3 linked regions of the Ovis aries genome follow. The main gene of each other region encodes a partner of the protein of the gene in region 3 in a complex. Links are inferred from orthologs where the notes say so. Each region holds a gene or a part of one and is shown on either strand. Other genes may lie near its edges.

The links.
Region 1: PRPF4 (region 3) and LSM5 share a complex: the UniProt entries of both Homo sapiens proteins name them as parts of the precatalytic spliceosome. The link is inferred for Ovis aries from reciprocal best matches to the Homo sapiens genes PRPF4 and LSM5.
Region 2: the proteins of PRPF4 (region 3) and PPIH are in contact, whole or in part, in a crystal structure (PDB 1MZW), measured with the Homo sapiens proteins. The link is inferred for Ovis aries from reciprocal best matches to the Homo sapiens genes PRPF4 and PPIH. Residues at the interface, in NP_004688.2 of Homo sapiens: Arg113, Gly116, Glu117, Pro118, Ile119, Thr120, Leu121, Phe122, Gly123, Glu124; in NP_006338.1 of Homo sapiens: Phe14, Arg26, Phe46, Cys47, Thr48, Gly49, Pro57, Ile58, Gly59, Tyr60, Lys61, Gln173, Cys174, Gly175, Glu176, Met177.

The regions. Positions count from the first base shown.
Region 1 is NC_056057.1:65,579,269-65,583,017, forward strand, and holds the start of LSM5 (U6 snRNA-associated Sm-like protein LSm5), read left to right. Parts: upstream 1-1,140; 5' UTR 1,141-1,160; coding exon 1,161-1,206; intron 1,207-2,267; coding exon 2,268-2,363; intron 2,364-2,644; coding exon 2,645-2,672; intron 2,673-3,275; coding exon 3,276-3,348; intron 3,349-3,749. UniProt on the Homo sapiens protein: Plays a role in pre-mRNA splicing as component of the U4/U6-U5 tri-snRNP complex that is involved in spliceosome assembly, and as component of the precatalytic spliceosome (spliceosome B complex).
Region 2 is NC_056054.1:17,161,856-17,165,582, reverse strand, and holds the start of PPIH (peptidyl-prolyl cis-trans isomerase H), read right to left. Parts: upstream 2,920-3,727; 5' UTR 2,896-2,919; coding exon 2,830-2,895; exon of another isoform or gene 2,495-2,829; coding exon 2,430-2,494; intron 2,139-2,429; coding exon 2,115-2,138; exon of another isoform or gene 2,021-2,114; coding exon of another isoform or gene 1,998-2,020; intron 1,843-1,997; coding exon 1,798-1,842; intron 1,547-1,797; coding exon 1,504-1,546; intron 1-1,503. UniProt on the Homo sapiens protein: PPIase that catalyzes the cis-trans isomerization of proline imidic peptide bonds in oligopeptides and may therefore assist protein folding. Participates in pre-mRNA splicing.
Region 3 is NC_056055.1:10,436,291-10,439,939, reverse strand, and holds part of PRPF4 (U4/U6 small nuclear ribonucleoprotein Prp4), read left to right. Parts: intron 1-93; coding exon 94-187; intron 188-695; coding exon 696-790; intron 791-2,192; coding exon 2,193-2,251; intron 2,252-2,691; coding exon 2,692-2,815; intron 2,816-3,649. UniProt on the Homo sapiens protein: Plays a role in pre-mRNA splicing as component of the U4/U6-U5 tri-snRNP complex that is involved in spliceosome assembly, and as component of the precatalytic spliceosome (spliceosome B complex).

The DNA of each region.
Region 1 (3,749 bases), on a different chromosome or scaffold from region 3:
GCACTTTTTGCTTTACATATTAAATTCCACGTGCTTTGTACATAATGCTTGCTAGTTGTCTTTCTCCCCCATTTATCCTTTAGCTCCTATAAGGGCAGAAGACGTTGTAGTTCTGTTCTTTACGCTGGTTATACTGAGCAAAATGCCAATGTTCAACTAAAGTATTTGTTCGATGAATGAATGATTGGTGCTTTGCAGCCATTGTGTGAATGAATGATGTCCTTCCTGGCCTTTCCTGCTTAAACTCTTTAGCTTTAAGCTCCTCAGATATAAACATAAAATAGACCAACGCAAAAAATTTGTTCGCTTTTTCTTTTCAAAACAGATGCGTAAAAGCAGCAAGGCTTCCTAAATGTGATGTTATTAACATAGAATGACATCTGGTGGTTGCCTGTTGGACTGTGGAAGAAATAGTGTATACAAAATGTATAGCAGACTCCTAGATATTACAAGATTAAAAAGGACAGTTCAGTTCTGTCACTGTTTTGTCCGACTCTTTGCGACCCCATGGACTGCAGCACACCAGGCTTCCCTGTCCATCACCAACTCCTGATAGTAGAAGATAGAAAACAATAGAAATGGAAAAAATTGAAAAAGTAGAATAGAAAAATAGAAAAAGAAAACGATAGTAGAAAATAGAAAACATACTTAAAATTTCCCCCTCGCCCAACAAACTTTATTAAAAATGCTAGTTGTGGGTTTTCAAATCATCAAACTTTTAAAAGAAGCGGTAGATTTTTTTTTTTAACGAAAATTGCAACACAATGAATCGGTGGCGGGAAAATCAAATTTATTGATTCTGGTCGAAGAAAGATCCTGGGTTGATATGAGACACACCTCGATAAGGGGAAATAAGACAGCACAAAGGCTTCCGTTTCGCAGGCTTCCGGATTAGAGAAATAACTTATTTATAAGACCGGAGATCTCTAAAGTCTCTTGGAAGTTTGGAGAGGCGAGTTATCTGTGGAGAACCTAGAACGCTCAGTGAACAGAAACACTTTCTAGAATCTCCCTGCAGGATAAAGAAGTGGCTGGATCTCCTCAATCGCACTCTCGGCCTCAGATTGGTCGAGCCTGCCTGGGCCGGAAAAAAGCGGAAGCGCGCTCTTTCAAACTCGCCGTTCCGACGTCGATAGAGGCAGGCCACTTCCGGCGTAGCCATGGCGGCTAACGCTACCACTAACCCGTCGCAGCTGCTTCCTCTAGGTAATCTTTGTCCTGTTGGGGAGCCGGGGCGGGGAGTTGAAAGTTAGGGTTGGGGCCGAAGAGCAAGGCAGTCCCTGACCGAGTGTTAGAAAAACGTAGCTTTCTCTGCAGCTCTCCTTTAGGCTCCAAGTCTCGGCGGCCTGAGGCCGCACAAGTCTCTCTGGCGTGGGGGAGTCTTCTTGAGGCAGGGGTTTTTGACTCCCCAAACCTTCACCGGAAAGGTTCAGTCTTGGTGAATGTGTCGTTGACCTTCTTTGTTGGGTGCTCGCCTTTATAATAGTAAGAGGCCCATTCCGCAACCGGGCTTTTAAACTACCCGGGTTATATCCTGTCTGGCTGGTTTCTGAGTGAGGCACTTGGGTCTGGAATGAGCCTTTAAAGAGGCCTCTGAAAACTAGCTCTTGTTACTCATTTATTCAGCAAGCAGTTACCGCGCCATCTGTGCACTAGACACTGTGATTGGGCACTGTTCAACAAATTTAAATCACGGCCATTACCTTCAGATAGCATACAAACCAGTGTAGGAAACAGGATACAGGGCAGACATAGACTTAATGACAAGGAGGAATCTCTGGTGAAGACAGTTCTGCCTTTTTTTTCCCCTTAATATTTTATATTTGAAGGGTTATCGGGTTAGTGGATGTGGCAGTTATTGTAAAGGTTTTTTTCCATCCTGGAACAAATTCTTCTGAATGACCAGTACATTTCAGGCATTGTCCACTGGGGATACACTGATGAGTAAAAACCACCTCTCAGCTCTCTTTCAGCTTAGAGTCAAGAGGGGCGTTCATATGTTAATCAGATAACTAAAATAGTATTAAACTACAACCATGATAAATTGCTACAAAGGAGGGTTAAATGAATAACAGGGAGGGAAAACTGTCCTTTTAATAGAATGACTGAACAGAGATATGTAACATAAGGTCTAAAGTTTTGGAGTGAATACTTTTCCTGGCTTATCTTTTCACCATATGCATGTAACAAGTGTCAGTAGGCATTCAAATATTTGTTAATGTTATGAATGGGCAAACTAATCTTCTCTCTCCCGCCCTTATCTGCAGAGCTTGTGGACAAGTGTATAGGATCAAGAATTCACATTGTGATGAAGAGTGATAAAGAGATTGTTGGCACACTTCTGGGATTTGATGACTTTGTCAGTATCCTTTTAAAAGGTGGTTGTATGGATTTTTCTTCAGATTTTTAAAAAAGAACTATAGACTATCAGTACTTACCGATTATTATAATAAAGTTTAATTTATTTTTTTGGAAATTGTGATAGTGTTTTAAGGGATTGTGGTACTGAAAGATGAAGTTCCTACCAATTGCACGCAGCTTGCATTTGAGCCATTGTATTCAATGTTATAATTAAAACTGAACAAAGAAATAAGCCAGAGTAAATTTAATTTGGTATGTTTATTTTCTTAACACCAAATTTCAGATATGGTATTGGAAGATGTCACTGAATTGTGAGTAGTGTTAAAAATTAAAGAATGGGTAGGGGGAATCTCTGTTTGATTTAAGGCAGTTTTAGTGCTGTTGAGTCAGTAAAAGGATGTAGGAGAGCACACTGCCTGTTTGAATTACTCTAAAGAGAGAAAGTTTACCTACTGATGTTAGTAAAATTGGATTGGAGGATTATTACCATAATTTAATTGTCACTAATTGCTAGGAAGTTAGTGGAGACAAAGGTTTAAGGTAAAAGATACTAAAAGCAGCCAGGGATCTTAGCGCTCAGATCAAATAAAGGAACTTATAATAAAAACATTTAATGTTTTAAATTAGTTACTCTAAAACTTATGTGTATATATATATATATAAACATTTTATTTCATATTTGATCTCCTTGGTAAGTTTCAGTTTTTTAGATGAAGATCTGCACTAGTGGATGTGGGTCTTAGGCCAGTCAGTCCACTCTCTTGCCTTTGGAGAATTGACATCACCATGGGGATAACCTTGTCTCTGGAAAGTGTACAGTTCATTTATATATAGTAACTAACCTTTTGGTGGATCAGAATGTTGGCTTTGATTATCACTCTTTATCCTGACTTTTTGAAAATCTTTTTGTTTAGTGAAATCACACCAGAAGGAAGAAGAATTACTAAATTAGATCAAATTTTGCTAAATGGAAATAATATAACAATGGTAAGACAGTGAAGGTCTTTTATTTAGATGTTAAGCCATCTTTGTGGGGCAGGGATTACAGAACTGACTTGATTGACTCAATGTTCTTGGCCCAGTGGTGCTTAGGGTGGGAAGGGAATGCTCTGCTGATCAGGATTCTGTGGCCAAACTGTTGAAGATGACATTAGGCCTAAGATTAGTTTGTTTATACCTTTTATCTTATGTATTTTTAAAATATTTATTTATTTTTTTATTTGGCTGCATTGGGTCTTAGTTGCATCACAGAAGATCTTTACTTAGTTGCAACATGTGGGATCCAGTTCCTTGACCAAGGATCAAACCTGGGCCCGCTGCATTGGGAGCATGGAGTCTTAATCATTGCACCACCAGTGAAGTCCCTGCTTGTGCTTTTTAATCATTTA
Region 2 (3,727 bases), on a different chromosome or scaffold from region 3:
TTGAGACGATTTATTTTCATTGTTGTACTTTTGTTTTGCAACCAGAAAAAATACATTATCTTTTAAATTTTTAAAACACATTATTAAAACAAACAAACAAGCAAATATTCTTAGTCCAACTTTAGAAGGTCTCAAATTCTGCTTCTACGTCTTGCTCATTCTATTTTTTCTGCCCTAAGGGTGGCTCTGAGTAATTTCTTCTCCCTGACAGCCTTCTGGCTGACTAACTGCTAACTCTAGAGCAATTAGCAAGTGATCACATGTGCCTAGCAATGACCCATAAGAAGTTAGTCCTATCCCTGCTAAGACAATATAGCAGTATAGAAGCCTTTGGAAGAAAGAACACAGAGAATAGCATCTTAGCCCTTCTTACTTGCCAATAAAAAAGGATATGGTCACCCCAAGCCCTACTCTAATCAGTCGTGGCCAGGGGTTGCAAACTTAAATGCCTATAGGAGTATGTGACGTAAAGAAGGGAAGCCAGTGGTGGGAACTGTGGTGAAATAATAAGGACATACCTGTCTAAAGGGAGCTGTTACTTGACTCAACCAAATGTTGCTACATGAGAAACACAGGCCAAGTGCACCCCTACTTTTCAGTTGTAACAGAGAAAACAAAACTCCAGAACTTTCCGGAAAATTTCCCAGTTTTACAACATCATACAGATGATACAAAGCATATCTGTTTCGGATTCAGCCCCAAATCTGCCACTTTGTAAACTTATCTGGGTAGGAAAGATAGAAATCTTAAAAAAACTCCTAACAGTCAAACTAAATATACATGTAAAGGATAAAGAATGTCTCCCAGATCCAAGAAAACAGCAACATGACTAACCAAATGATATTAATAAGAAAGATCATGCACAGAAATGGGTGGGTATGGACAAACGTAGGTTTAAGAAAGCATAAATGTGGTTTATTCAGAACCCTGCAAGGTTGGGAAGCTTGAAATGGGGATGCATACAGTGGCAAGAAAAATCATGCTTAGCAATGAAGGATTAATTCAATGGGTTCTCCTAGTGAATAGGGAAAATATCCTTCCAGAACTCTCTGATTTCTTGCCCACTAATGAACTTGATTAAAAAAATAACAACTCACCTTCCGAGGCACTGGGATACCAGAAGTGAATGGGAAATCAGGGCATAAGCATTTAACTCACTGGAAAGGGACTTGCCCCCATTTAGAGAAAGTTAACTGTAACTGATTTCTAGCTAAATTCCATGTGCCCAGTTAATTTGGGTCTGTCATGGATCACCTATAGGTATGCTGGGAAAGTCAGTTCCCAGCCCTAAAAGACTGAGATTTGGAGTGAGTGACTCAATCAAAGTGCTAATATGTTATCTAGTGATGCAGCGAGTAGCAGCCATCACAGGATATTCCCATTCCCACCTCCTCCCCCAGCAAACTTGGCTACTGTTCTCAGTTCCCCGAGGAGCAGCTTCAATAACAACAACCAACAAAAACAAAACTTATAGGCCCTTAATAGGAAAGGAACAGTACTTACATTAACAAAATCTCCACCCTGAATCATGAAATCTTTTATGACCCTGAAACAGAGAACAAAGGATGCTGGGAGAAGATTGTGTGGTTTGGAATAACATTAATTTCAAAATATAATGTTTATCACTTCAGTCCTCAAATCAATGGTTGAGTTCACAAAAGCATCCCTTCTCAAGAACTAAGAATTATGCTATGGTTTTGTTTTCCTCTGAAGAGACTAATCCCCCAAGGAAGTAATTCTAAACCATACTAATAGTAATTTTAAAAGTCCCCCAGGATGGCTTGCCAAAGGCCTTACCTGTGGAAGGTGCTCCCCTTGTATCCTATCGGAACCCCATCTTTTCTATAAGCAAAAAGAAAGAGACTTGAAATGGTAAACAGGTAAACATAGGCCTTTCACGTTTACCATACAGTCGAGCCAGAGACACCCTTCTAAAGATGGTCGGGAGAAGAGAGACGAAGAAGGCAAATGAACTGAGGACAGACCCATAGTAATACCTTCTATTACTGTCACCAGTCATACAAGGCCTGCCGGTGATTCCCCAATACCCTCAACTGCAGCCTCAGGACAGCCCTCAGGAGCAAGCAGAGAAGTCAACCACGTCAGAGACTGACCTGAATTCTCCTGTGCAGAACTGCCTGAAAAGGAAAAGAGTGAACGATTCAGTCGCCATGGCATCACAACTCTGAGCGTCCCTAACCTCAGCGGGAAGGGGAACGTCGGCGCTAGCTAGCCCACCAACTGGCTGGTCAGACGTCCAGGCATACAGATTAACATAAACTGAAAAGGGGACGGTCAAGACTATTCAGAGAGATACCCAGAGAAGTCAGATCTCAAGGACGGTGAATGAACGGATAGAGGTAGGCAGAAGATTCCACAGACAGGCCCAGCTTCTCGTTTGGTTTATCCAGCAAAGAACATCATCTTACCTAAAATTCTCCGCCGTCTTAGGCACAACGTCTGCAAAGAGCTCAATCTTCATACGACCAACCTCCTGCAACCGGCGAGAGACGTTCAGAAAGCCCAGTCCAAGCCCGTGAAGGCCTCACCGAACAGGGAACCCTCGGGCCCCCATGCCGCTTGGTCTCTCCCACCTCCGCCTCCGTAGCCTACTCTTCCGTTCCACCCGGTCCCTCCACCAGCCGGGCGCTAGGATGCGCAAGACTCCTCCTCTTCCTACTCCCTCACCCCCGCCCCGCAGGTCGGTAGGTTCTGGTTCAATTTCACTTTTTGGCTTCCCGAGTTTGCTACACCTGAGGAGGTGATCTGCCTGCCAGACCGCGTGCACGTTCCCTTTGGCATCGGGCTGGCTGGCTGCCAAGACCTCACCTGGCCGCCAATGCTGACATCAAAGAATACCACGGGATTGACAGGGCTTGAATTTGCCACCGCCATGCCTCTGACCCGGAAGCAGAAGTCGGGAGCGCGGGGTTCCGGCGATCCTATGATCTTGCTCCGCCGGGAGGTGTTTATTTCCGGCGCAGGCGCAGGAAGAGCCGGGGGGGGGGGCGGTGCGGTGGGAGGCGGTCGGCCCCGCCCCCGGAAGCTCTCTGCCTTCGATGCCAAGCTGCGCGCTGCGTGGGTGGCCGGGGCTTCCTTCCGTTTTGACGAGTCGCAAGTTGTTACCTCACCTGAGTCTCCTTGAGCGCTGAGGCCGGAGGACATCCTCGGCTTTTTTTTCGCTCGAGGCCCACGGGCCTCTCATTCACTTGGATACAGTAAGTGCAGTACGGATGATTCTCGCTCAGGCTACGGGGCTTGGACTAGGCAGTCTTCAGGGTCTGATCAGCCTTTGCAGCCAAGACCGTCTGAACCATCATATGTGCGGCCTCTTACCCCTTTTCACTAGTCTGGAGGCCCGGAAGCAAAAACCGTGTTTATCCTCAGCGCTTTGAACAGCCTGGCATATAAGGCTTGTTCAGTATATTCAGCACTTTCATGAAGTCAGGCACTAGACTTTAATTCCAGTTCTCCCACAAGCTTCCGCTTTCATCATCTCCAAGTCACTTACTGCAGAGCAGCTAGAGCTTTTAAATGAATCTGCTTATAAATCACTCCCGGATTCCCTTATTTAGAATAAAATCCAGTTGCTACATAAAAGACCTACATTACATTATCTGGCCACCTACCTGGGACTCTAGCCTGTTCCTCTAGGTCACGGAGACTCGGATTCTATTTAGGGCCTGTTAACTGACTTTAATATTCTTCTAAATCTTCATGAGGGTGC
Region 3 (3,649 bases):
CTGTGGTTGTTAGTTGAAATTGAGTGGTACAGAGACTTCTGTGGACCCTTGTTTCCAGCCAGTTTGCCCAGGGTAATGTTTTCTGTGTTACAGGGCAATGAAACGCTTAGAAGAGGCCCGTCTTCATAAAGAGATTCCTGAGACAACTAGAACCTCCCAGATGCAAGAGCTGCACAAATCTCTCCGGGTAAGACGCTCCCCATGATTGCCTGATGTTTTAAAGATTTCTTGCAGTGTTTATTAAATGTTCTACCTTGGCCCACCTCTAACAAATAAAAGGCAGCCGTACATCTTTGCTTGCACTGTTGCTGCTTGAGAGGATTGGTCCGTTAAGGTGCCAGGGAACCTGCTGTACTTTGTACGAGGCAGGCGCCTGTGGTTCTGTGCTGTACTTCTCCCTTTTAATATGTTAGACTGTGCTTTAAGGCTTGCCATGGCTTTCTGGTTTATATTTAGTGGACAGAGACGCTGTCGACACAGTCTGTAGATGACAGCATGAGGGAGTTCCAGATAAGCCTTGACTCGGTTCGTTCATTCATTTGTAGAAGTGTCTTCTGACAAAAGAGGAGGGGTGGGGAATCTTAGGGTGGGTTAAAACTGAAAAGGTTTTTGTTGTTGTTGTTGTTGTGGTGGTGGAAAAGCCAAGAAAGTCTTGGGTTAGCATTTAATGATTGCTTGTTTGTCTTTTCTTTAAGTCTTTGAATAATTTCTGCAGTCAGATTGGGGATGACCGGCCTATCTCCTACTGTCACTTTAGTCCCAATTCCAAAATGCTGGCCACAGCTTGTTGGTAAGTCCCCATCTTACAGTGGTTTGTTTTCTTTTCCCTGAATGGGGTTCTGGGGGGAAAGTCAACATTTGTTTTCGAAGGCCATTGCTTGGCTTCCCTGGTGGCTCGGCTGGTAAAGAATCCGCCTGCATTGTGGGAAACCTGTGTTCAATCCCTGGGTTGGGAAGATCTCCTGGAGAAGGGAAAGGCTACCCACTCCGGTATTGTGGCCTTGAGAATTCATGGACTGTATAGTCCATGGGGTCGCAAAGAGTCAGATGTGACTGAGCTACTTTCAAAAAAAAGGTGAAAAATAAATAGAAGGCCATTGCCATCCCATTTTCCTCTGCTGCTCATGATCACATCAAACTAGAGGTGGTAATGTGTACCCATTGTAGTTTATAATAGAGCTTTCAGTTCTCATGTGTCAGTCATATTCTTGGCATTAGCATCATTTTGGAGCAGATATATTAATACAAGGAGTTTATAGACTAATTATACACACCTTGATATAGCTTTTCTTTATTAGTTATGTGACCTAAGCAAGATACTTCTGTGTAAGCTTCAGTTTCTTTATCTGTAAAGCAAAGCAAATTACCGTTTTTGTGTTTATTCTGTTTTCTGTTTGCCATCGCATATGCAAAAAACTTTTAAGATGTGAAAACTTTGGTGTTTTGTTCTGTTCAGTCACTTAGTGTTCTTGTGGGACATTGTCATCTAGTGAGGGGCTATCTTCCTTACATTGTACACACAGAAGCTACCTGACTAGGCAAAAATCAAGACCAGTTCAGGAGAAAACCAAGGACATATGTAGATCGTCCACCTCTTCAAAGCCTTAGCCGTCTTTATTATGAAGCAGAAATGACTCACTGCTGTGCAGCAGAAACTGACACAACATTGTAAATCATCTATACTCCAATTTAAAAAGTTAATTACAGAAAATAAAACGAACGCACAAGTAGAATAGAAATGATCATTCCTGTCTTATGTACCTCACAAATCTGTTACAATGGTCATCTGAGATGATATAAAAGTAATTTGTTGGAATTTTTCAAAATAAAGCAGTTTTTAAAATTTAATTACTTTGTAAGTAATATGCTATTCATATTTAAGGAGATAGTATCATTATTAATATTATAGTTAGATAATTTAATTTCTCCTACTTTGCCTAGAAATTGGTCTAAAAGTTAAGGAGAAGAGCAACTTGTGCTATAATATTTATAGTCCAGTAGAGGCCTTTGTTTGCTTCAGACCTGGTTATAGCTTTCTTATATAACCCTTCAAATGATAAGTCTTTTCTTTTTTGACTGCCGCTATAACTATTTTTGGGGGTAAGAAGATACTGTCCTTTAGTAATGTTACCAAGATACCTTTTCCTTCCCAGACCAACCCTGGCTGAGGTGCTTTCCTTTGTGTTTGATAGGAGTGGGCTCTGCAAGCTCTGGTCTGTTCCGGATTGCAACCTCCTTCACACTCTGCGAGGTGAGTTAGACTCTTACCCAAAGCTTGGTCTTTTTCCCAGTTCAAACTCTTATCAAGCAGTATAGCTCTTAAAGCTCTACCGGACACTCAAACCCAGTACACACACAATTAATTCTTGATATGATCTGACTTGGTTTGGTTTTCTTTGACTGCAAGGCTGAATGATAATGATATCATACGCATATTTCTCTCTCATGTCCAGCCCTACTCTGGCATTTGCAGTCTCTAAAGCAAGAAACTTTTTTGTATGTGTTTAGCTTTTTTTTTAATGTAATTTATACGTTTAAATTTTAAAAGTTCAGTTTTTTAGTAGTTGAATAATACTTTATAGGTTCACGTTTTCTGAAATGTGTATATATAATATTCCTCATTGTGTATATTTACACTTAAGTTATAACGGAACAGCAGCCCTTTAATTTCCATCTCTTACACTCCTTCAGGCCATAACACAAACGTGGGAGCGATCGTATTCCATCCCAAATCCACGGTCTCCTTGGACCAAAAAGACGTCAATCTGGCCTCTTGTGCTGCTGATGGTTCTGTGAAACTGTGGAGCCTTGACAGGTGAATATTACTGCTCTGTCCGCACGGCAGTCACCACAGTAAACAGTTGATTGGTTGGCCCTAGGGACCTAGAACTCTGTACCTTGGTTTTTGCCTCTAAACAGTGACCACTGTTTCCTGGCTCGTTATTCTGGAACGATCTATTATACCTGCCATTGCAGTAGATTGACGTTGGAGAAATGCGCTATTTGGTAGATTGACTGAAAATAATACTCCAGACAACACATTGGTTCTTAGCAAACAGCCGCAGGGGAGAGAAAGAAGGCTATGTCCAGCAGTATTGCCAAGGAAGTGGTATGCTCACAATTTCATCATACTTTACCTAAACCATATTTTCCAAGTACAACAGGCTTGTCTGTTTTAATGTGTTTGTGATTATTTATTGTTTTCCAAGAAATAGTTAGAAGCACCTTGTTGCCTAAAAGACTTCTGAATTCAGTTGCTTAGTTTTCCTTCTTTGGGAAAGCACATGAGGCTTTTGTTCTAGGATTTTGTGAGGAGCTAATTAGTGTCTCCACTCTGCTAGATAGGATATTACCTGTGAGCACAGCAAGTTTTAATTGGCTTTGGTAATAAGTAGCAATGTTTGTTCCTCTAGGGCTTTGATTAGTTATGTGTATCCACATTAATAGTGTTCTCTTTTTAATTGCCCTCTTTAGGGTTTGTGTTTATTTCCTTTCACTGGTGTTTCAGATCTTTCTGCTGTTGCTGGTAGTAGAATTTAAGGGCCACTGAAAGGAAACTAAGCCTCTGTTTAGGAGTTCTTCTTTCATGAAGATCCTTGGACAAGCTGAAGTTTGAGATAAAATTATCTATAATCCACTTGCACCAGAA